2 linked regions of the Saccharomyces cerevisiae S288C genome follow. Changing the gene in region 1 together with any one later gene gives a genetic interaction. Each region holds a gene or a part of one and is shown on either strand. Other genes may lie near its edges. The genes, in order: BIO4 and YHL048C-A.

Region 1 (11,201 bases):
TGAAGTATGAGGTAGCCTAAAATAACCAACGTTTCAAACCTAGTAGGAAGATAGCCTGTTATCACTTTTAAGTACGAGAAGGGCTCTGCATGCTTTTCATAAAGAGTGGGTAGAGTAGTATAACCTCTCACGTAATTGACTAGCTTTTGCTGAAACATAATCTTTTTTATTGGGGTATAATTCAAAAAACGAATTAAACCTGCAAGCAACATGACACCCACAAAGTATGCACAGATAATGCCCCCGAAATAATACGGAATGTCATGGTTATAGTAGTAACCATAGTATGCATCATAGTATGCTTTTCTTAGTGTAGTGTTCAGTCTGATAGGATAAGTGATATTGATGCCAGCTTTAGGTTGATCTTGTATATAGTATGTTCCATTATCCAATGAGGTGTAAAACTCGGCATCAGTCATGTTCAAAAACTTTGGTGTATAGCAAAATTGTCTCATTTCTTCAAAACCTTTCTCCAAAGTTTTATTTGAATACCCTTTCTCATGCGTGTCTTCGTAAAGACAGTAAAGCATCGATTGGATTGCTGGTTCATACCGACATATAGCGGACCCATTGAACCCCCATGTTTCTTTACGTAAACCAACGTAGCATGAATATATCGACCTTCTCTCATGAGTATTTATTAGAGACGTTTTACTGGGTGGGGCCTTTGCGGCCGAAAGCTGGAAGAACAGAAGGAAAGATATAATATGTACCAACAACATGGTTTTGCCTACCTAAGCTTATTTAGCCATCTCAGGTTCAAGAAATAGACGCTGGGGAGACACGATTAACTGGAGTCTTTCTCAGCTTCTCTAGTTGTTTTATATGAGAGTCAGCCAAGACTAAGAAAGAGGAGAAAAACTGGCTTTTAACGAATATTTTGTGTAACTGCAAGAACTACTAGGGTTTGATGTACCTTGCTCATTAAACTACGCTAGGAATTCCCTATGTAAACGCTGATGCGTTTGCCTTAACGAAAAAAATTTTCTCTAACGATACAGAAATTGTAACCTCATTTTTACCATAGTCACCGGCAGTGAAGGGATATATCGGGACCTCTACCAGTAGTCTTTGTTCTTTTGAGTATTGTTCCCTCAGGGTCCTATGAAACCAGGTGCAATTATGGTATTCGTTGAGTGTCTATGTTAAATAGGGTGCAAATTTTTAGACGGTCTTGCATAAAAAAACAAAAAACGTTCTTCTATCGGAAAAAGCCGTTCCTGCTTACAAAGCCAAGATCTTGTTTTGTACGCAGTTGCTCTGGGATTCAGATTACGTGTTTCTAAGAAGCAGGTCCCCCTCTTCTAAAATTATTCCATGGCATACCTTTATTATTCTTCTCTTCTCAGCCACGTTACTCTTAGTAGAAGTTTCTTGCTAGCGCCCGCTTTATCCCGAAAACGTCATTTCACACATTCTTGAGGGAAGGAAAAAGGAAAAAGGCTACTCAGGCATCTATGGCCGTCGCCAAAGTAACCTTACTTCCTAAGCTATTGAAGGGCTCGCTTGTAAGGAAAATTTCCCTGTGCTAATAGCGGAACTGGGTACTGAGCACTTTTTATGCACGTGCATCGTACAATTACTCGCTTGGAGCCAATGCACTAAACATTCTTATAATTCTAGGCGAAAATGTGTTGTAGTAGTTTTACGTGCGGGAAACTTACTTCATGCGATATACTTATTTGTTTAAAACAGATATGGTATTTTGTTAGTTTTTGATTCAGGCGCTACTGATGATTTGTGCAAGGGTCCAGAGAAAAATGCATGTGTCAGTGTTCTAAGCCAAGTATATATGATTACCGGTAAAATTCTACGCCAATATTCGTCTTTTACTGAAGAAAAGTATTGTTGGCATTCCTACTTTATTTTAAAGTTTTCTTGAGGCAAAATGAAGAAAGAGCTAAGGCTCTTTTTATGAGCGAATTTCACATAATGTTAACTAAATATAAATGCGGGAATAACATTGTGCCAAGAGGAACTTAAATAAGGATATCTCAAAAACAGCCTAGTTCCGTAGGAAAGATGCCGTTTGAAAACGATGTCAAGAAGGGTTTAACATGCTTTATAGAAAAATCTAAAAGTTTAAAAACTTATAGGAAATTCACCGTACTCATACTGAAACATACTCTATACAACCTTGTTCCATAATTCTACAACTTTCTCGTAATATTTCTTTTGAGAATCTGTAAACTCTATCAATTTTCCGTACTGTCCCTTCCTATAATGTGTGCAATAGCTGTACATAACGCATTCGCTCTGTTGCGACCAGGGGGACTTGCTGACATCGGGTATTATGACAGCTTCGAGTTTCACAGGTGATTGATAGTAATTCCGTAATTCATCAACGCTTTTGTATTTGGCCGCAATCTCTTTACGCTTTGTAAAATCATAATTCCAACAATTTTTTTTGCAAACGGATAATCCGCCATTCAACCACAAAAGATTACCGTACACGTCCGTGTGAGATAGCTGGGTAGAACAGATTGTACTGCTTTCTAGAGTCTCCGGCTTCTCTAATCTTCCTACATTCGAAGCCTCTATTGGATAAAAAGTAAACTCTTTTTTGGAAATAAACAAACTAAGCCAAAACCATTCCTTATCACCATGGAAAAACTCTTGGATAGGCGAAAATTGCAGCATTATTGCGATTGGTAGACAGAAAAAGTGTTTTTGTTTATCGAATATCACTAAGCCGCTGTCCATGTAATGTTTTTGTTTCTTGAAAATCAAGGCCTCTATTGCATCAATTGCCATCTCATCGTTTAGGTTATGTTTTAAGATTTCAAAACCTTGCTCCGAATCCGAGGATACATCCAGACTATTATTGATTATCTGCTTCAAAACTTTAACTTGGAGTGGACTTAACTTGGAGGTTGGAAAACTCCTGTCTTTGAAAAACAGTGTACCTGTTCTTTTAAATCCGTCAATTTCATAGAGTGTATCCAACGGGACAAAAGGTACAGTATCAGAGTCCAAAAAGATTGGTATTTGAAATGAACAAAAGGTAATTGCCAGCCACTTATTCGAAAATCTCTTGAATCTCGCTAAATATTCGTCATTTAACATGTCTTTCACATCCAGAAACCACAATTCCTGAGGGGGATAATTTAAGGATCCAGATTCTCTTGCTGCTGCTATCAAGAGCTGTTGAGAACTCTCATGTAAATCCGATTTGTGAACGATTTCAATTGGAAGGGAATTATTTAACAGCCGCAAAACTCTTATTAGTCGAATTGTATCAGCCACCAGATATTCCGATACGCTCATTACCACACCTTTTGAATTCCTTTGAAGAGCTGAATTCAACCAGTTCTCCCAAAAAGGTTCGCTAGCCTTGAATTCAATGGGTGAAGTTCCAATGAACGAATTGTTCTCAGAAGAAAATTGTAATACCTGTCCACGGTACTTTGTTCCATCAAATCGGGTATGAACAGGCCAAAAATTATGAGATTGTTCACTATTTAGGGCTGTGAAGTTTATATATGGGAACAACTTGGTTTCTATGCTATGAAGAAGGGAAATATCCTGATCAGCACGGATTTCTTTTGAGCATTTTTGATACAAATCCAAATTGGATAGCGATCGGGACACAGTTTTCACATCCTTGCGACTCCTGGTCACGTAAGATATAAAAGATTTCCATCTATTCGGTTCATAGAATTTACTTGTCAATTCCGGCTTTTCATATTCCTCTATTTGACGCAGTCTAGAAAAGCAGTGCACGTTGCCAGAGCGATCATCTTCTCTGCGTGTTTCGAAATGGTCGGAGAATGGATACTGTCGGTAGACCCTAAAAAGAACAATGAGAGACAACAATGATGTGAAGATCAATGGTGCCAGTTTCTTAATTCTTCGTATGCGCAATACCATTTTTTGCAGAGTACGTTTTTAAAGATGGCACTTTTACCTTAACACAAGGGACTCAATTTCATGTTAACAAATTTCATCTTTTCCAAGTGTTACATAGCACTACCGATCCTTTCCTAGGTAACGAAACCATGATAAACTAGTGCTGCTGCTTTAAACAAAGAGGCGCAATGTTTACCTTCAGAAGAGAGGTCATACAATTACTTGGAGGGTAACATTACTAATTTTGCAGAGATTGCAACATAGGTGATCTTATATGTTGAAATAAAAACTACTGCTGATATTGCTTGCTTTGATAATAACAATATTCGAGGGAAAATACTGCCCATGCTACTTCAGTGTGATGGCAAAGCGTTTTCTCATCTAGGAGAGCAACGGTTTGATCCCCGTGAAAAGCCTGGGCCCAGTACATCTTGTAAGATCTTACACAATATTAAGTTATATAGACATCGTTTACTACATTCAAGGTCTTGTGAATAGTTACTGCGGATAGGTTAATAGAGGAAGATATAGTGCAAAATTTCAAGTAGCGGAAGATAATCAAATGCTGAAGGAAATTTACAGGTTTGCCTCAATAATAATCTTGACTCTGCCGGAAAAATTTACCAGAGGGTTCAAAGGTATGAGTTGTACGACCCGGTTCAACAGTAGTTGCTTGAAGAGTAAGCTGAGCCTATAATATCCCATCTTTTCCGTTCTTCTCATAATAAATAAAAGATAGGATCGTGAGATGTGTCAGCTGCTGAGGAGTGTAACTAGCGCTAATGGGAGAACATAGAAGAGAGTACCGTGATGGCACAGAAGGCGGGTAGGCGACCACGGACCATTTCGGTCCAGATTTCTCAACTCGTACTTCCTGTGATACGTTCTTGCCCTGAACTAGTCAATTTTCTCTTGTGCAGCAGGCTTCGACATAGTTTTATGATAAGAAAAGTAAGATATAAAGGTCCGCTAGAATAAATAACCATAAATTTTTTATTTTGAGTTATATCAATATAAATAATAGCGTAAAAGAATGCATTTTACGCAAGAAATAAGAATTCCTTGGCAAATGACTTGATGAGATCGTATATCATTGGTTTATGTGGGATTTCCACTCATGTAATACTTCAATCAAGACTTGATTAACCTTCGTCAATTCCTCTGTCGTGATCACATATGGTGGCATAATGTAACACAGGCAGTTGAAAGGTCGGATATGTACTCCCTTGGATATAAACTTTTTCTGGAACCACTCGGGATCTGTCTTCTTGTATAGCTCTACGATACCTACAGCTCCAATAACTGACACACGCTTAACAACAGTTCCAATGAGCCCATTATCTGGGTTCTTGATGTACTGGTATAGTTCTCTATAAATTTGGTTTTCAATTGCAGACACTTGTTTTCTCCACTCGCCACGCAGTAGTATATCCATAGACTTTTCTGCCACACTGCATGCCAGGGCATTGCCCATGAAGGTGGGGCCATGCATGAAGCAGCCACCAGTAGGGCTATTTGGAGAAGAGATTCTGGAAGCAACTTTGTCGTTGACTACCACTGCACTCATAGTCATATATCCACTGGTTAAGCCCTTCCCAACGCACAATATGTCAGGAACAACTTTGATCTGATCGGAAGGACTGATGCCATGTTGGTCCTGGTATTTTTGACAGTGCTTGAATGCGAAAATCTCACCTGTTCTACCAAATCCTGTAGCAATCTCGTCCATGATGAATAAAACGTCGTATTGGTTACATAGTTTCTGAACTTCGATTAAGAACTGTGGATGGTATGGTCGCAAACCTCCTGCACCCTGTAAGATAGGCTCCAAAATCACAGCACAGATCTTATCACTATGCAATTCAAATTGCTTCTTGAGATCGGTAACTTCTTCTGCATTCCAATGGTCCTCGAAACCGTTCTGGCTGGTTGGAAGGCCATCGACAATAGAGGGAGCTTGGGCGAAGATGTTCTCACTGAGTCGATCGTTGTAGATATGATGCATAGAATTCTCAGGATCACAAACACTCATAGCGCCAAATGTATCACCATGATACCCGTTCTTGATTGTCAAAAACTTTGTTCTATTTTTAGTAGCTTCCCCTGACATGTTTGATTGTAAAGCCATCTTCAAAGCTACTTCCACTGCTACTGAGCCAGAATCTGCGAGGAAACAGTACTGCAAAGAGGGTTCATCAATCACTTTTAAAAGTTTTTGGACTAGATTCACAGCTCCTTTATGGGTGAATCCACCAAGAAGGACGTGAGAAAACTTTAACATCTGCTTGGTAAGGGCCTCATTTAGTTCTGGATTATTGTACCCGTGAATAACACACCACCACGACGACATGGCGTCGATCACCTCGACGTCCACTGGTGAGTCGGTATCCAACACCAGCTTGCATCCGTGAGCACTCTTTACCGGATAAACGTTCAATGGTGAACTCAATGACGTATAAGGATGCCAAATATGTTTTTTATCAAAGTCTAGCAGTTCCGCGACATCTGGTGTATATGAAATTTCTTGGGACATTAGTTGTTATCCTAGCAATAGAAAACGAATTGCGCTGTTGACATCCTCCCGACCAAAAGAAAATGAAATATACAAACAATGGCTATTTATAATTCAAAATTATTGGGCAAAACAAAATAAAATCCCGCTGGTAGTTCGTTTACTGAAGTATATAAAGAGATATACTTTTTTCCACAAGTAGGCCAGTGAAAAGAACTCAAAAAATCACTAGCGCACAGGTCATGAACAGCAAATCTCAACAACAAGAACAACAACCAATTGTATTCGTCACCGGTACAGACACTGATGTTGGTAAAACCTTTGTATCAACATTATTGGTACACAAATGGAAAGCTGCATACTGGAAACCCGTACAAACTGGAATTGAGTCAGATCAAGGTGACTCCGAGACATTGAAAAATTTCAAAATAGCCGCATCAACTTGGCAACCACCTATATTCACGCCCACTTATGCGCTGCAGAAGCCTCTATCTCCGCTCCAGGCCATGGAGTACGAACCTAATGTCGACATCAGGTTGTTGGATTTCGTAGTTCCTGAAGAGTGGAGCGCAGAGAATCCATTGGTCGTAGAAGGAGCCGGCGGGGTTTGCGTTCCTATCACTCGTAAATTGGAAATTACGACGGATCTAATTAAACATCTGATTGAGACTAGCGGCCATCCAGTGTACGTAGTTGTCGTGGCACGCAGCGGGCTAGGGACTCTGAATCATACATTGCTGACTTGGAATCATCTTTGCGATAATGGCTTGAGAAGCCACCTTTTTGGGGTCATTCTCAATGGGGAACCGAATGAAGGCAACGTGCAGGCCCTGAAGAAGTTCGGTGTCAATATTATGGCACAGGTTGCACAATGTACTACGGCACATGATCAGGATATGGAGTTGCATGAACTGCCATCGGTGGAGTCATTAATGACCCAACAAGACGTAGAATAGTTTAAATAAAAAAGTTGCAAGGCTTTCATCAGCTATATATAAGTAGCATGGTATGAACAGAGTAGGGGCAGTGTTCCTATTTGTATATGAAAGAAATTTTTTTTTGTCTATTGTTCCAGATCGTCACAGGACGGAAATAAGAATGTCTAGTTCAGAAAGGTCAGAAGTCAAGTTTGACAAGCACTTTAATTGGTGGTCCCTATTAGGTATCGCGTTCTCATTAAGTTGCTCATGGGTCGGTATCTCAGCGTCGATGGCCGTTGGTATTGCCAGTGGAGGGCCACTGCTTATCATCTATGGGTTGATAATTGCTGCTTTTTTCAGTCTCATGTGTGGTATATCTCTGGGAGATTTTGCTGCTATCCTGCCAAACAGCAGCGGTGGTTCATTTTGGGTTCTTAAAATGTTGGAACAAGAATCAGTCACTTTGAAAACCCCTGAGTACGAGGACCCTTCTGACGATGATGAAGAAGTGTTCCTCGAGAATTATTGTCAAACTTTCAACGTGGAAGTTTCTTCTAAATTTCAAAAGGTTTCTTCCATGGTTGTAGGGTTGCTGAACTATTTCGGTGCCATTTTTACTACCGCAAGTATCTGCTCATCTTTGTCAATGAGCTGTATCGGTATTCATAAGTTGTTGCATCCGGACTACGAGTTAAAGCACTGGCATGTTTTTGTGGGTTACGAGTGTATCAATGCCGTTTTGACACTTTTCAACATTTATTCAACTCCGTTGCCCTATATCTCTCAGTTTGGGCTCTATACGTCTCTATTGTCTTTCGCCATGACTTTCATTATTTGTATTGTTTCAAGATCTGACAACACCGTAGACCCATGGCCCAAAGCTTCTAATATATTTGGGAGCTTTGATAATCAAACAGGCTGGAATTCGTCTGGAATGGCGTTTGTTGTCGGTTTGGTCAATCCGATCTGGGCATTTGTTGGCATTGACTCTGCTACGCACATGATTGATGAAGTGGGTTATAGTAAGTCACGTTTCTTAGTTCCCAAAGTTATTATCACTACCATCATTGTGGGCTTTGTAACTAGTTTTATTTATTGCGTTGGTTTGTTTTTCTGCATCACTGACCAAACGGCAGTCGTTGAGTCTATTTTACCTATCGTAGAAATATTTTACCAGGCCACTGGTAATAGGAATCTCAGTGTCTTCCTGCAATGTATGTGTATCACAACAGGTTTTGTTTCAGGCATTGCAAGTGGAACCTGGCAAAGTCGAATCCTCCAATCATTCGGGAAAAGTTACGCACCATTTTATAAAGAGGGTTCCTTGGGAAACAAATCCTTGAAGAAGCTAGCAGTGTTGACACCTGGGTTTAAGTCTCCATTATATGCCCATTTTTTGTCACAAATATGTGTAACGATAATTGGCTGTATATTTATGGGATCTAGTACCGCTTTCAACGCAATTATCACTGCATGCATCACCCTGTTACTAATGTCGTACGCAGTTCCTTCTTTTATATTCCTGTTCGTTATTAAAAAGGAAAAATTCATTCATAGAATCGAGAGTGACGTAAATTGTGTCAGCAGGCCTAACCGTCGTCGTATGTCTATGATTCCTCATATTATATGTATTCTATGGACCTTGTTCTGCCTGGTATTTTTATCTTTCCCATATACACTACCGGTTACTGCAGGAAACATGAATTACACCTCAGTAGTGTATGCAGTAGTTTTCTGCATTATCAGCATCGTTGTTTTCCCTACATGCATCTAAGATGCTGTTGAAAGAAAAACAGTCCTTATAAATTCCTAGGTCGATACTACCTTTTGTAGCTCTATCGTCAGAACTTCTGCCCTCCTGTATCATAGTTTCATAAAATAATTGTATATTTATTACCAGAAGTACCCTTGTATTACAAAACTAATCGCACACCACAAAGAGTAAAAGTAGGTACCATAGCAGCAGCGCTTAACCTATTCTCCGTCAGTATGAATGAAATATGTGGATTTCGATTACGATTCATTATAAGATCAGAACACATAAAGCCATTTTACTGAGCTATCTCAACTGCACAAACCATAACAAGTAAAAACTAGCTAGTGTAATTAGGAGATTATCGAAAGTCCTGGTCAAGCAGCAAGTTGGGCGAAAGTGTATTTTTGGTCCTTAAATAGTCCCGATTATGGGAAAATTACAAGTCATGACAAAATTTATTTTATAGGTGCACAAAATAGTCTGTAGATATTTTAATATCAAAAGAAAAAAGACGTATTCGCATGATAGTATATACCAAAGAAGAACGATTCAGAGAATGAATGTGGACAAGTTTTTTTGAGGAAAATGAAAACTAGAAAATCAAGGATATTGAGTACTTAGTCATTTTTTTCATTTTTTTCTTCGAGAAAATTTCTTTTTCATTACTTACTTATTTTTGCCAAGACATTTTTTTATCTTTTAAAATATATTCAAATAGTTCTTCTCTGAACAGAATTTTTCTCTCTTATGATGTACAATTACTTTCTTAAGTCACATATAATACCACACAATGCAAAAATTTCATGCATCAGCTCTCTAAGCTTTGAGAAATGTGTAGTTTGACGTTTACATCAAGGCCTGGTTGTGTCATATGAAATTCTACGGATATTTTTAGGGAGCTTTCGCCTAGCGAGAACAAAAGCATAACAAAAAAAGTTGCAGTTGATGAAAATTTTCTTTTTAGGATAAAGTTATTTTCCAGACAGAAAATTAAACTAAAGACCTCGCCGTTAACAAACCATAGTAGTTTAGACTATTTCCTAACCTTTCTATAGATTCATTTAATTGTCTATTGTCTTCAATCTAAACGATAAAGATAAATACGCAGTCGAATAAGAAAGAATTATCTGTATCAGTCTCTGAGGTAATATTTACTGAACCTCCTCTGCAAAAATAAAACAAGCCCATTTTGTTGTCGAAAGCGCTAGCATCCTTAATTTTACGATACTATTTCATGCTATTACTACCAAGTTGACATCCCTTATTATCTTATTTATTTGAAACTAGAAGAATAGCAAGTAAACACTAAATCCGAAAGAATCGAAGTATCATATTACAATCTACAGGATATAACAAAACAGCTTCGCAACTTTTGCATTTCTAACGAATATAAAGAAAAGAACTACTATAGAAGAAAGTTTGCGAGTGTGAATCTTAAATTTTTAACAGATGGACAAATATACCAACAGGGATCATCCGGACTATATTCCTGGCACATTTAACATCTATTCTTCCCAAAATTTGGAAAATGGTATTATATACGAATCAAAATTGAAGAAAACCTCCTCAGGAGTCGTCCTAATCCCTCAACCATCATACTCGCCAAATGATCCACTGAACTGGTCTAGCTGGAGGAAATTGGCTCATTTTGGTCTAATGGCCTTTATAACTGCGTTTACCGCCGCTACTAGTAACGACGCTGGTGCTGCTCAAGACTCATTGAATGAGATTTATGGGATATCCTACGATTCCATGAACACAGGGGCTGGTGTTCTTTTCCTAGGTATTGGTTGGTCCACTTTATTCTTGGCTCCATTTGCTAACTTGTATGGCAGGAAGATTACGTACATAGTTTGCACCACATTAGGTCTCTTTGGTGCGCTTTGGTTTGCTTTGGCCAAAAGAACGAGCGACACAATATGGTCTCAGTTGTTTGTAGGTATTAGTGAGTCCTGTGCTGAAGCCCAGGTGCAACTGTCCCTGAGCGACATTTTTTTCCAGCACCAATTGGGCTCCGTATTGACCGTGTATATCATGTGCACTAGTATCGGTACGTTCTTGGGCCCATTGATCGCTGGGTACATATCTGCATTTACCAACTTCCGTTGGGTCGGTTGGGTCGCAGTGATCATATCTGGTGGCCTTTTAATAACTATTATATTTG
Region 2 (10,610 bases), on another chromosome or scaffold:
AACTGCAGCTTGACGTACTGCGGACCCTGCAGTCCAGCGCTCGTCATGGAACGCAAACGCTGAAAAACTCCAACTTTCTCGAGCGCTTCCACAAAGACCGTATCGTCTTTTGCCTCCCATTCTTCCTGGCACTTTTTCTCGTCCCAGTTCAAAAAGTACTGCAGCACCTCTGTCTTCGATTCACGCAAGTTGCTCCATACTTTATAATACAACTCTTTGATCTGCCTTCCAGACATGCGGAAAACTTGGCTCCCTTGCTTGCCTCTTGTCGAATCCAATACACTAATTGTTTCTCTTCTTCTAGTAATGGCCAGGTACCAAGCATAATTTCTCTGTATCTGAGAGTAGATCTCTCTCCTTTTTACGCTAAAAAATTTCAAATACCCTACAGGGTCCCCATGATATGGCTCGATGTCTTCCAAGTATTCTTTGTATTCCTCGTCATTTCGCAGCATTCTCTCCACAGCTAGTGCTTCCCAAGCCATCCTCCGATACGATACTTTCTGGCCAGCCCAACAGACACAGAGCTCGAACATCTTTTGACAGCCCTTGCATAATCCGTATTGTGTGAATACGCCCTCTGGGCAGAAGTATATGTCAATACCATAGAGGAAAAGATGTTTAATTTCGTCAGACCGAAATCCAAGAAACTGTAAGACATTCATATTCTCGGAAGTATTGGGAAATTGTGCTTTCAGTTTCTTTCTCTCTAGCAAAACCATTTGACTCCCTTTCCGCTTATACGGCTCTTTGTTAATGTCGGTGACTGGATGGAATCTATTATCCTCAGCATTGCCATCTTTATTGGCGTCCTCCTTGGCACTAGCGTTGGTACTTTCAGTGGTAGTAGCATTAGTGCTGGAGTTGGTGCTAGCAGTGGTAGTAGCATTAGTGCTGGAGTTGGTACTTTCAGTGGTAGTAGCATTAGTGTTGGAGTTGGTACTTTCAGTGGTAGTCGCACTAGTCCTGACGTTGATGCTGGCAGTGGTAGTCGCACTAGTCCTGACGTTGATGCTGGCAGTAGTAGTAGCACTAGTCCTGACGTTGGTGCTGGCAGTGGTAGTAGCATTAGTGCTGGAGTTGGTAGTCGCATTGGTACTGGCGTTAGTACTGGCATTAGCACTACCATGAATGCACGTGTCGCTGTCCTCATCACTGCTGCAATACTTTCTGTACCTGTCACTGCTATTGCTCTCCTGGAAGCTAGACGGTAACGCAACGATCGACATGGAAGCTGTCGCCTGATTTTCAGCCAATCTGTCCATTCTTTCTATCAGTTCCACTGTGTCAGCAGACAGGTCTGTCCTGGAGCCACAGCATCCAACATGCTGGCCCTTTTTTCCTTTCTTTGATTCAAGTCCATAGAACTCGCGTACCTGTTCGGTTATACAGCCTTCCTTAATTGGTGGCAATTCACCCTTACGATTCCTTGCGGCCCAACTGTTTTTTCTAGATAATAGATAACAGAGCCCCCCCCCCCATCTCTTAGTCTCCCTACGCCTTGAATGAGCTCAATAATATTAAGTCTATTATCAAGCATGATCACCATCATCAATTGCTTAATGTCAATTCCTTCAGTCACTAATTTTGTTCCGATGAGAACTCGCATGCTACCGTCAGTGACAAACTCCTTTGTGCGAGACACCTTTTCTGCAGCACCCAGCTTCCCGTGTATCCATACCACCCTAAAATACTTTCTCCAAGAGCAGGCCAATTCTTCCACTTCGTTGGTTGTGCTTGCAACTACAATGGCCTTCGACTCTGGTTCACTTTCAAAGAGGGCTAAAAGAAGCTTCAGTGCTTCTTCGGGCTGTGATTCCACTTTCTTCCGAATTTTATGAACATGCCCTAAAGGCACCTTGGATTTCTCCTTGATTAGATTAAACATCCGTGTTGGATAGCTGGATAGACCTCTGCTGAGATCTTCCGACCGTTTGAGCTCGTTGATGTCCATCGACTTCTTGGCCAGTCCCGTAAGCCCAATACGCTGCAACGCAGCATCAGCAACAGCCTCAGGGGCTGTGCCGCTCAAAAAGATTGCTTTCTCAAAAGCGTCAAAATCAAGGTTAGTTATGCCCCCAAATTGCGACTGCCGGTAGACCTCCGTTTCAAAGTTGTGCAACTCATCTACAATGAGGTAACCCAATTTTACGTTGTTGGTCCTAAAGGTGCACTCAACAATATTCTCCCACGCAGCTATCCTGTCTGTGAAATTAGTGCTAGCAAGATCATCGTAGATCCCCACGTATAAATCAGTAACGCCATCGCAACCTTCTTCAATAAAGTTTCTTACAGGGGCCACATTCAAGCAACCGCATCGGCCCAACCTGATCATGCAATTAGCAAGCAACACTGTGTACGGTACAAACAGAAACGACACATATTCCACGTCGCCCTTAGACGCCAGTGCTATCAAGGGGAGATGAAATAACTCCGTCTTACCATAGCCCGGTGGGGCCTGTACTGCCACAGAGGGTGTGTCTGCCATGTATATTTCATGACATAAGCGCAACTGATGCAAGTCCCTGAATTCAAAGGAGCTGCCAAAGAGTTTCTGGCCTGCGACGAGGATATCGTTTGTACTCTTGGGCTCTCGGGGCCTTTTTCGCGTTACTCTTGAAATTTTTTGATCATGATCTGAACTCGCCGCCTCACCTGCCACTACGTCTTCCGCATTCCGAGTACTAGAGAATGAACAATGGTAGTCGCTTTCAAGGCCTAACCATTGAATCCAGCGCTCGGAAGTGAGTCCGTCAAGCGTCTTTAGTCGAGGCTCCGATGAACCGTTCTTGTTGTATCGTCGACGTATACGTTGCGCTGTAGCTCTGGATAACGGTAAGCGTATCACCGTAAGCTCGTCAATTATTTTTGAGAGCCGCGGTCATTTTGTTAGTATCTCTTCTCAACTTGGGCAGCACACATGCAAAACATCACCCAATCGGTCCTTTTTGTTCATCATATCGTTACATATCTGTGAAAAGTACTTTATCTCAGTGGGTTTACGTGGGCATAGATCACGCTTCAGCCGCTCTGTGTCGACTTTCTTTTCGCCAGGTAAACTTGCTTGGTATGCAGAAAAAATCGATAGCTCATCTACGTGTAGTAACAAAAACATGTGGGGTGCCAAATTGTACCCATATTTCCTTATGGTGCTTTTCTGAAGACTCCTTACAATAGGTGCGCCAGAAACAAAGTCAGTGAAAGTACGCATCGTAGAGCTGTCGTTCGGCCTGGCACTCGCTATTTCGTGACAACGTTCCAGGACACGGAAACTCAACTCATTATAGTATCCTCTGTTGAGGTAAAAAAGAGAAAGGGTATCGTAATCCTTTCTATTGAATTTCAAAGTATGCACTTGAAACAACGTGTAGACCATCAAGTTGATTTTCTTGGGAATAAGATACTTTGAAGGGATTGGTCCGCCCTGGAAATCTGGTTCGTCTTCAACAAACGTCAGGAACTTTTGTACATTTTTCCCGACCATGACGGAAACGACAATTTTTTCAAAAGACCTTTTCCTATCCATTGCACCAGTTCTGAATTTTACCACTTTGATTAGGCCAGACTTTTCGTCTTCGTAGAATGACCGCACTTCCGTGGGGATCGATTCAAATAAAGTTATTGAGGGACAATGTACCAAGTCGTTTTTGTTATTTAGAGCCGACTCAAACTCGTCAAAGTTTGCTTTTTCAAACTTACGCCTATCGGAAACTTTCATTTTATTTTTGTAAGTTTCGAAATTAACAATAGTATGTTGATTGTTATGCTTTTTGACAAGAAATCCATCAATATAAACAAAAGATTGTCCAGTTTCCGTCTTATCATCATCTAAGAATGTAATAATTAAGCTACTCTATTGAGAAGAAGCAGAATCTGCGCTATGCAGGTGCAAATCTCCAGCAGCAGCAAAGAAAATTCAGTTAATAAGAAATCTCACTAAGATAAGCGACTGTCTGTCCCAACATAGAAAACAGAAGGATGTCTCATTCATCGCTTGATTTCCGGCCTGCAAAAATAAAGCAGTCGGTACGTGCTTTCGTTTTCAATTTCCATGGTGCACAGTATCTTAACCGTCTGCTTAGTCGAGGAGAACCAGGATTCTGTTCGTTGCTCAGCCGCTTCGTGGATAAATTTTATTACCCCGCTGAGGTAGAGGAGCCCTTTTTGGCGTACCAAGTCACTTCCTAATGCTCCATGTCCCACCCACCATGTTGAAACGTTGACAAATGATCGTAAATAATACACACGTACTTACCCACACACACCACATGCCACACTCACTTGCACTTGTATACTGGTACGGCATACGCACACGGATGCTACAGTATATACCACTCTCAACTTACCCTACTTTCACATTCTACTCCACTCCATGACCCATCTCTCACTAAATCAGTACTAAATGCACCCACATCATTATGCACGGCACTTGCCTCAGCGGTCTATACCCTGTGCCATTTACCCATAACGCCCACGATTATCCACATTTTAATATCTATATCTCATTCGGCGGCCCCAAATATTGTATAACTGCTCTTAATACATACGTTATACCTCTTTTTCACCGTATACTAACCACTCAATTTATATACACTTATGCCAATATTACAAAAAAATCACCACTAAAATCACCTAAACATAAAAATATTCTATCCTTCAACCATAGTACATAAACACACTCAATTGCGTATCAATACCACCATGACGTCATTAACTTAAATGTTCCTTAATACCGTCATACCACTATGCTCTATTCCATATATTGTAATATAACTGTACTCTATAGTCATACAGACGCTTTTACTTCACCCTATCTTCTCATACTATTGTCATAGAATCTCACACTGACGCATGATTAAAACGAATAATTTTTACTATAAGGCCTCCCATCCGTGCTCTACCCTTTTGTTTGCAATATTTATACAGAATCTCAAAGCAAGCGGGAGAAGTGGTGATTACCCAGATGTCATGCATGATCTGAGCACCACCGTACCTCTAGGTTTTGCCTTGATCAATTTTACAGTGACACCAAGCATAAGGATAAAAAATGGTATTGAAAGGTTGTCCACATTTGTAAGTAACTTGGTTCTATGAATCTTCATGTCAGATACGTAGGACGGACTCTTTCCTGTGTAAATATTTGTGACAGCTACGTCTATTTTCTACTAGATGTTTACACAGTTTTGTCACAGGAAATCTACGCTTAAAATATGTATTTCATTCAAGCGGTAACCGCTGTACGAGCAGTGACATTGCTGGTCGCACCTTAAATGTAAACCAAAGTTACGGCACACCGTGATGCACCCGCATTAAAGTTTTGTAAATTCGTTATTACGATTATCGAGTTGGCTAGATAGAAAACCGGAAATGAAATGGATGCCCTTTTCGAATAGCTGAGTTTCTTTGCCTAAAATAGCCCAATATTGTTTCCCTTTTTCTATCACGAGGTTACTGAGCCATTGCATGAACGCGCGCGCCTCGGCGGCTTTTTTTTTCTGCTGTGCTGTATAAAAGCGAAAAGTCAGAAGTTACTATTTCGAATAAAAAACCCCTCGAACTGCCATCTCACTACCGAAAATGAAAGAGAATGAAGTCAAAGATGAGAAAAGCGTAGATGTGTTATCCTTCAAACAGCTCGAATTCCAAAAGACCGTTCTACCTCAAGATGTTTTCCGAAACGAATTGACCTGGTTTTGTTATGAAATTTACAAGTCTTTAGCGTTTCGCATCTGGATGCTGTTATGGCTACCACTTAGCGTCTGGTGGAAACTTTCCAGCAATTGGATTCACCCACTTATAGTTTCACTTCTTGTCCTGTTCCTGGGACCATTTTTTGTCCTTGTTATTTGTGGACTTTCTCGTAAGCGTTCCTTATCGAAACAACTCATTCAGTTTTGCAAAGAGATTACTGAAGACACACCAAGTTCGGATCCTCATGATTGGGAAGTCGTTGCAGCAAATCTAAATTCGTACTTCTATGAAAATAAGACTTGGAATACCAAGTACTTTTTTTTCAATGCCATGAGCTGCCAAAAAGCGTTTAAAACAACCCTTCTCGAACCCTTCTCTTTAAAAAAAGACGAATCTGCAAAGGTTAAGTCATTTAAGGATTCCGTTCCTTATATCGAAGAGGCCTTGCAAGTGTATGCTGCAGGATTTGACAAAGAGTGGAAGCTGTTTAATACTGAGAAGGAAGAGAGTCCTTTCGACCTGGAAGACATTCAGCTCCCCAAAGAAGCTTACCGATTTAAGCTTACCTGGATTCTTAAAAGGATTTTCAACCTGCGGTGTTTACCACTCTTCCTTTATTATTTTTTAATTGTCTACACGTCTGGAAATGCTGACCTTATATCACGTTTCTTGTTTCCGGTAGTAATGTTTTTTATCATGACGAGAGATTTCCAAAATATGAGGATGATTGTTTTATCCGTGAAAATGGAACACAAGATGCAGTTCTTGTCAACTATTATAAATGAGCAAGAAAGTGGTGCGAATGGATGGGACGAAATTGCAAAGAAAATGAATAGGTATTTGTTTGAGAAAAAAGTCTGGAATAATGAAGAGTTTTTCTACGATGGACTTGACTGCGAATGGTTTTTTAGGCGCTTTTTCTATCGTCTCTTATCTTTAAAAAAACCTATGTGGTTTGCTTCGTTGAACGTTGAGCTATGGCCATACATTAAAGAAGCGCAATCGGCCCGCAATGAGAAGCCCCTAAAGTAGGAACAAATGTTCCTTTTCCAAAATATACTATGTGTAGTTGATCGAATATCAGTAAGTCAAAACGTATTTTACTTGTTTATTATTATTAATACTCCTTTTCGCATATGTTTTATCACTTTACACCATACAATAACCACTAAATTCAAAAACACTTATTTTCAATATTTGTTATAGAAAAATAACCACTAAAATCACCTAAATATAAAAATATTCTACCCTTTAGCAATAAGACTGAAACACTTTACTTGGGGTAAGAATACTGCCATGGTGTCATTAACATGAAAGTTCAATAATGTTTTCATACTAATCAATATGTACACAGGCTTCACATTAGAACATCATATATTAAAGCGGTAACTTAAAATCCAGATAATACATTTTTGGTCATATAAGTGCTTTTTTTTTGTAGGATATAATCGCAAATGATATCACTACACTATGACATATTGTTGACGTAGTAAATTACGATTTAGCTTATATGTCATAATGTAGTAAGTTTATATATGTTATGTAAATGTAAGAATTACATAGGTACTGTTTTTGTACACAGAAGCTATAATTTCTCAAGTACTACCGGATTAGAGGTTTGCTACAATACGTTTTCCACTATATGTTTTCTATGTGTGAAACATTACTGAAACATTACTCATATTACGCTTTTGTGTTATCACATTAAACATATACATGGTAACAAATATTACTATCACTTATCTTGCTTCATCTTATGTACCATACAAAAATTACTGCGCATATCAGAGATCATTTTTTCGAACACATATCCTGTTGGGGTTTTGTAAATCTTTCTTATGACCTGCCTAAGGCCTTTGCAAAACGTTTCGCGATCCAGTCATTGATAGGATCATCTTCCTTGGTTTGGACATATTCTCTGTCAGGTAACTTTTGGGCAAAATCTTCAGTCAACCGAGGATCTCTTACGCAGAATGTTAGAAGGAACATAGGCGCTGAAAATACAAGCGCAACAATAACTTCGTATTTTTGAACGTGTCTGTAAGCTTCAACCATCGCAGACCTAACTGGAGTACCCCAGGGATTGGAAAGAATAAAAGTTAGTGGTGAGCCATATGCTGCTGTAGCCAGGTCAGCGTCTCCCATGTAGTGCAATAATTTAGGGTACAATGACTGCGTCCATATGGCACCGGAAATGGCAGCTGCAACTGCTCCACCTATTCTGAAAACTGTATAGTTTAATGCTGTGACAGTAGCCATATTCTCATGGGATGTTACCGACTGAATAGAAACAATTGTAGGATAATCGAATAAACAACTACTGAGACCCCAAATAACCATACCAGCAATTATACCTCCATCGGCGTCTTGACCTGACCTGTAGCGGTAAAATAGTCCCATAGTAATGAAATAAAGTGAGCCACCAAAAATAATATACGACTTCAATCTAGATGATCTCGTAACGATGAGCCCCAGAAATGGAGCAACAACAGCAGTCACAAAAGAGTATAAGTTTATTATTCTTGTAGCTGAGGAAGCGCTCTCATCTACCGCAACTACTAGAATGGTGTAGAGATACCCAGCAGCCATTTGATATACAAAGCAGATAAAAAACATAATTCCCAATGGGGCCCACACGCCACGATCTTTTAGCAGCTTGAATGGAGCGAAAGGAACCAAAGCAAGTCGACTTTCCCAATATATGAAGCCTGGAACCAGGACAAAGCCAAGCACAAAGGGCCCGATAATCTTTGAATTTCTCCAATTTGTAGAGACGCCACCAGCAAGAGTGAGTGGTACAAGAATACAACCAACACCAGCAGTAAACAACAACACACCGACAACATCTAGCTTCCAGAACAACTGTACCAGCATTTGTACTAATCCGTGCGTTTGATAGTACGATTTTTCATCCTGTAATTCTTTCCATTCCACGTCATTTCTTACTTTCCATCTCATATGGAGCATACACAAAATCAATGGGATACAGCATAGAGGGAAAATGAACGCCCACATAGCAATATTCCACGACCAGTTCTCTAACGGGTTTGCTGCCTCCACTACACTACCTGAGACCCACGTAGTGATAATCGAGGGCCATGAAGGTATCAATGTGTAAAATAGCCTCCATTTTAATGAAGAATTATCAGACAACATCAAAACAACCTGTAGCATAACACCGACAAGTCCCACATAATAAAAGACAGCTCCAGCAGCATACCTCTGGACATCATATGCTTGAGATTGAATTATTGTACCCACAATGTAAAGTACAATGGATACAAGAAACAACGTTAGCCTTCCAAAGATATCTGATAACCCTCCAAAGATCACCTGTGAAACAGCAGATATCATTAGAACTATGACGCTTACTGTAGAAATGAGAGAATGTGCGGAGTACGAGTTCATTGCGTAGGTCATATATGTACCCCTTATGCTGCTATCTAATCCATAAGCGAAAGTGCAAATGAATGCAGAAAACAGGAATATAGCTTTTAATTGCCAAGTATCATACTTTTTAGCCATTAGCTCAGACTTACGAATAATCAATGATTTTGTTCCCTTTAATTTATCTTTCATTTCATCTCTGGGCGACGAATCGTCATCCATCTTTTCATCAACCATCAGTTCATTACAATTTTTTTCAGTATTCTTACGCTTTGTTTGGCTAGAACGATTGTCTTCTGGGACTTCGATCATATTTCCTTTGGCCCAAAGAGTTACAACTGTTTTTGGAGCTCAAGTGGAAAGGACACAAGCAAAGTTCTTCTACCAGGATCTCATGTCTTTATAGAAAAAAGTAAGGTGTAAAAAGGCTACTGGGTAAAATTCACCACGTTATCTTCTTAACTTGCCCTTAGTGAAAAGCTGTATCATTTCAGCTTCTGTGCAGATTAGTGAGTAACTGTCTTAGATTTGTGGAATCGGAGCACAGAAACTCCAGTAGGGTTGTTACGGACTACGTTCTGAAAGTATATTCCGTTTTCTTAAAGCAGGTGCAAGTTACTGGCATAACAGGACCCATCACTTCAGCCACAGCTTTGCTTCTAAAGATATATACGACATACTGGTAAAGCACGGAGCCCTACGGACGCTCAAAGTTATTCTTTTTTTTTTGTTCCTTACTGTGAACTAAGAACTGCACCCATTTTCTGATTGCTTGCTTGAGATAGGTGCTTATATACCGGGTGTTTGTATATAGCAAAGGTAGAGGGAGAACGGATTGCACACAACCCGGCCTGACAGGGAAATTTAATATCTGCAGGAAAGTTTCGTATGATCCCGGACGGGAGGGAAACCTTTAGAATTTAATAAAAGACGATCATTGGACTCACATAATTTAAATTAACAAGGAAAAATATTGCTAGGTAGGTTGTCGACAACTCAATATATATGAAAAAAAAAGAAAGATGCTAAAACGAGGCTTTTTTCTTTTGGACAAGGGGAGTCCAACCGCCCTGCATAAGTTTATTCAGCCTGTGAATGACTATAAACCATATATCATACTTCTTGCTTCTTTATACATTTTTTTCAATGGAAATATTTATATAGAAAGGGCGCTGCGCTTTTTGAGGTGAATGTTTTCATTTTTCAAGTTATTCAGTAGCGTTACCCAGTTGAGTGGATAGAGAATTCAAGTTTAAAGCTCATCTCAAACAAACAGTAAAGGATTCTACGCGGTACAGACTTATTTCCTAGTCGAGCATGATTCGATCATTGACATATATCCCATCTCTTGATCTAAGACTTGATCATTTTCTTTAAATTAAGAGTTTTGGGCAAGTGTAAAGCAAGGGTTAAATGATTATGTAGTTATGGAAGTACCAAATTCAAGTTCGTAAGAGGCTTGCTTTCTACTGATATATAAAACGCTCGACCGATTGGTTCTTCAATTGGTATAGCTAATAACTATAGCTGGA

The links.
Region 2: mutations in BIO4 (region 1) and YHL048C-A together harm fitness more than expected from each alone (negative genetic interaction), as found in Saccharomyces cerevisiae (one large-scale study listed by BioGRID).

What each region holds. Positions count from the first base shown.
Region 1 is NC_001146.8:729,472-740,672, reverse strand, and holds BIO4 (dethiobiotin synthase), read left to right. Parts: upstream 1-6,603; coding exon 6,604-7,317; downstream 7,318-11,201. Other genes in the region: FRE4 (ferric-chelate reductase), read right to left, coding at 1-722; MNT4 (putative alpha-1,3-mannosyltransferase), read right to left, coding at 2,128-3,870; BIO3 (adenosylmethionine-8-amino-7-oxononanoate transaminase), read right to left, coding at 4,940-6,382; BIO5 (Bio5p), read left to right, coding at 7,370-9,055; HOL1 (Hol1p), read left to right, coding at 10,487-11,201.
Region 2 is NC_001140.6:824-11,433, forward strand, and holds YHL048C-A (uncharacterized protein), read right to left. Parts: upstream 4,975-10,610; coding exon 4,840-4,974; downstream 1-4,839. Other genes in the region: YHL050C (uncharacterized protein), read right to left, coding at 1-1,074, 1,848-2,488; YHL049C (uncharacterized protein), read right to left, coding at 2,903-3,718; COS8 (Cos8p), read left to right, coding at 5,578-6,723; ARN2 (siderophore transporter), read right to left, coding at 7,528-9,390.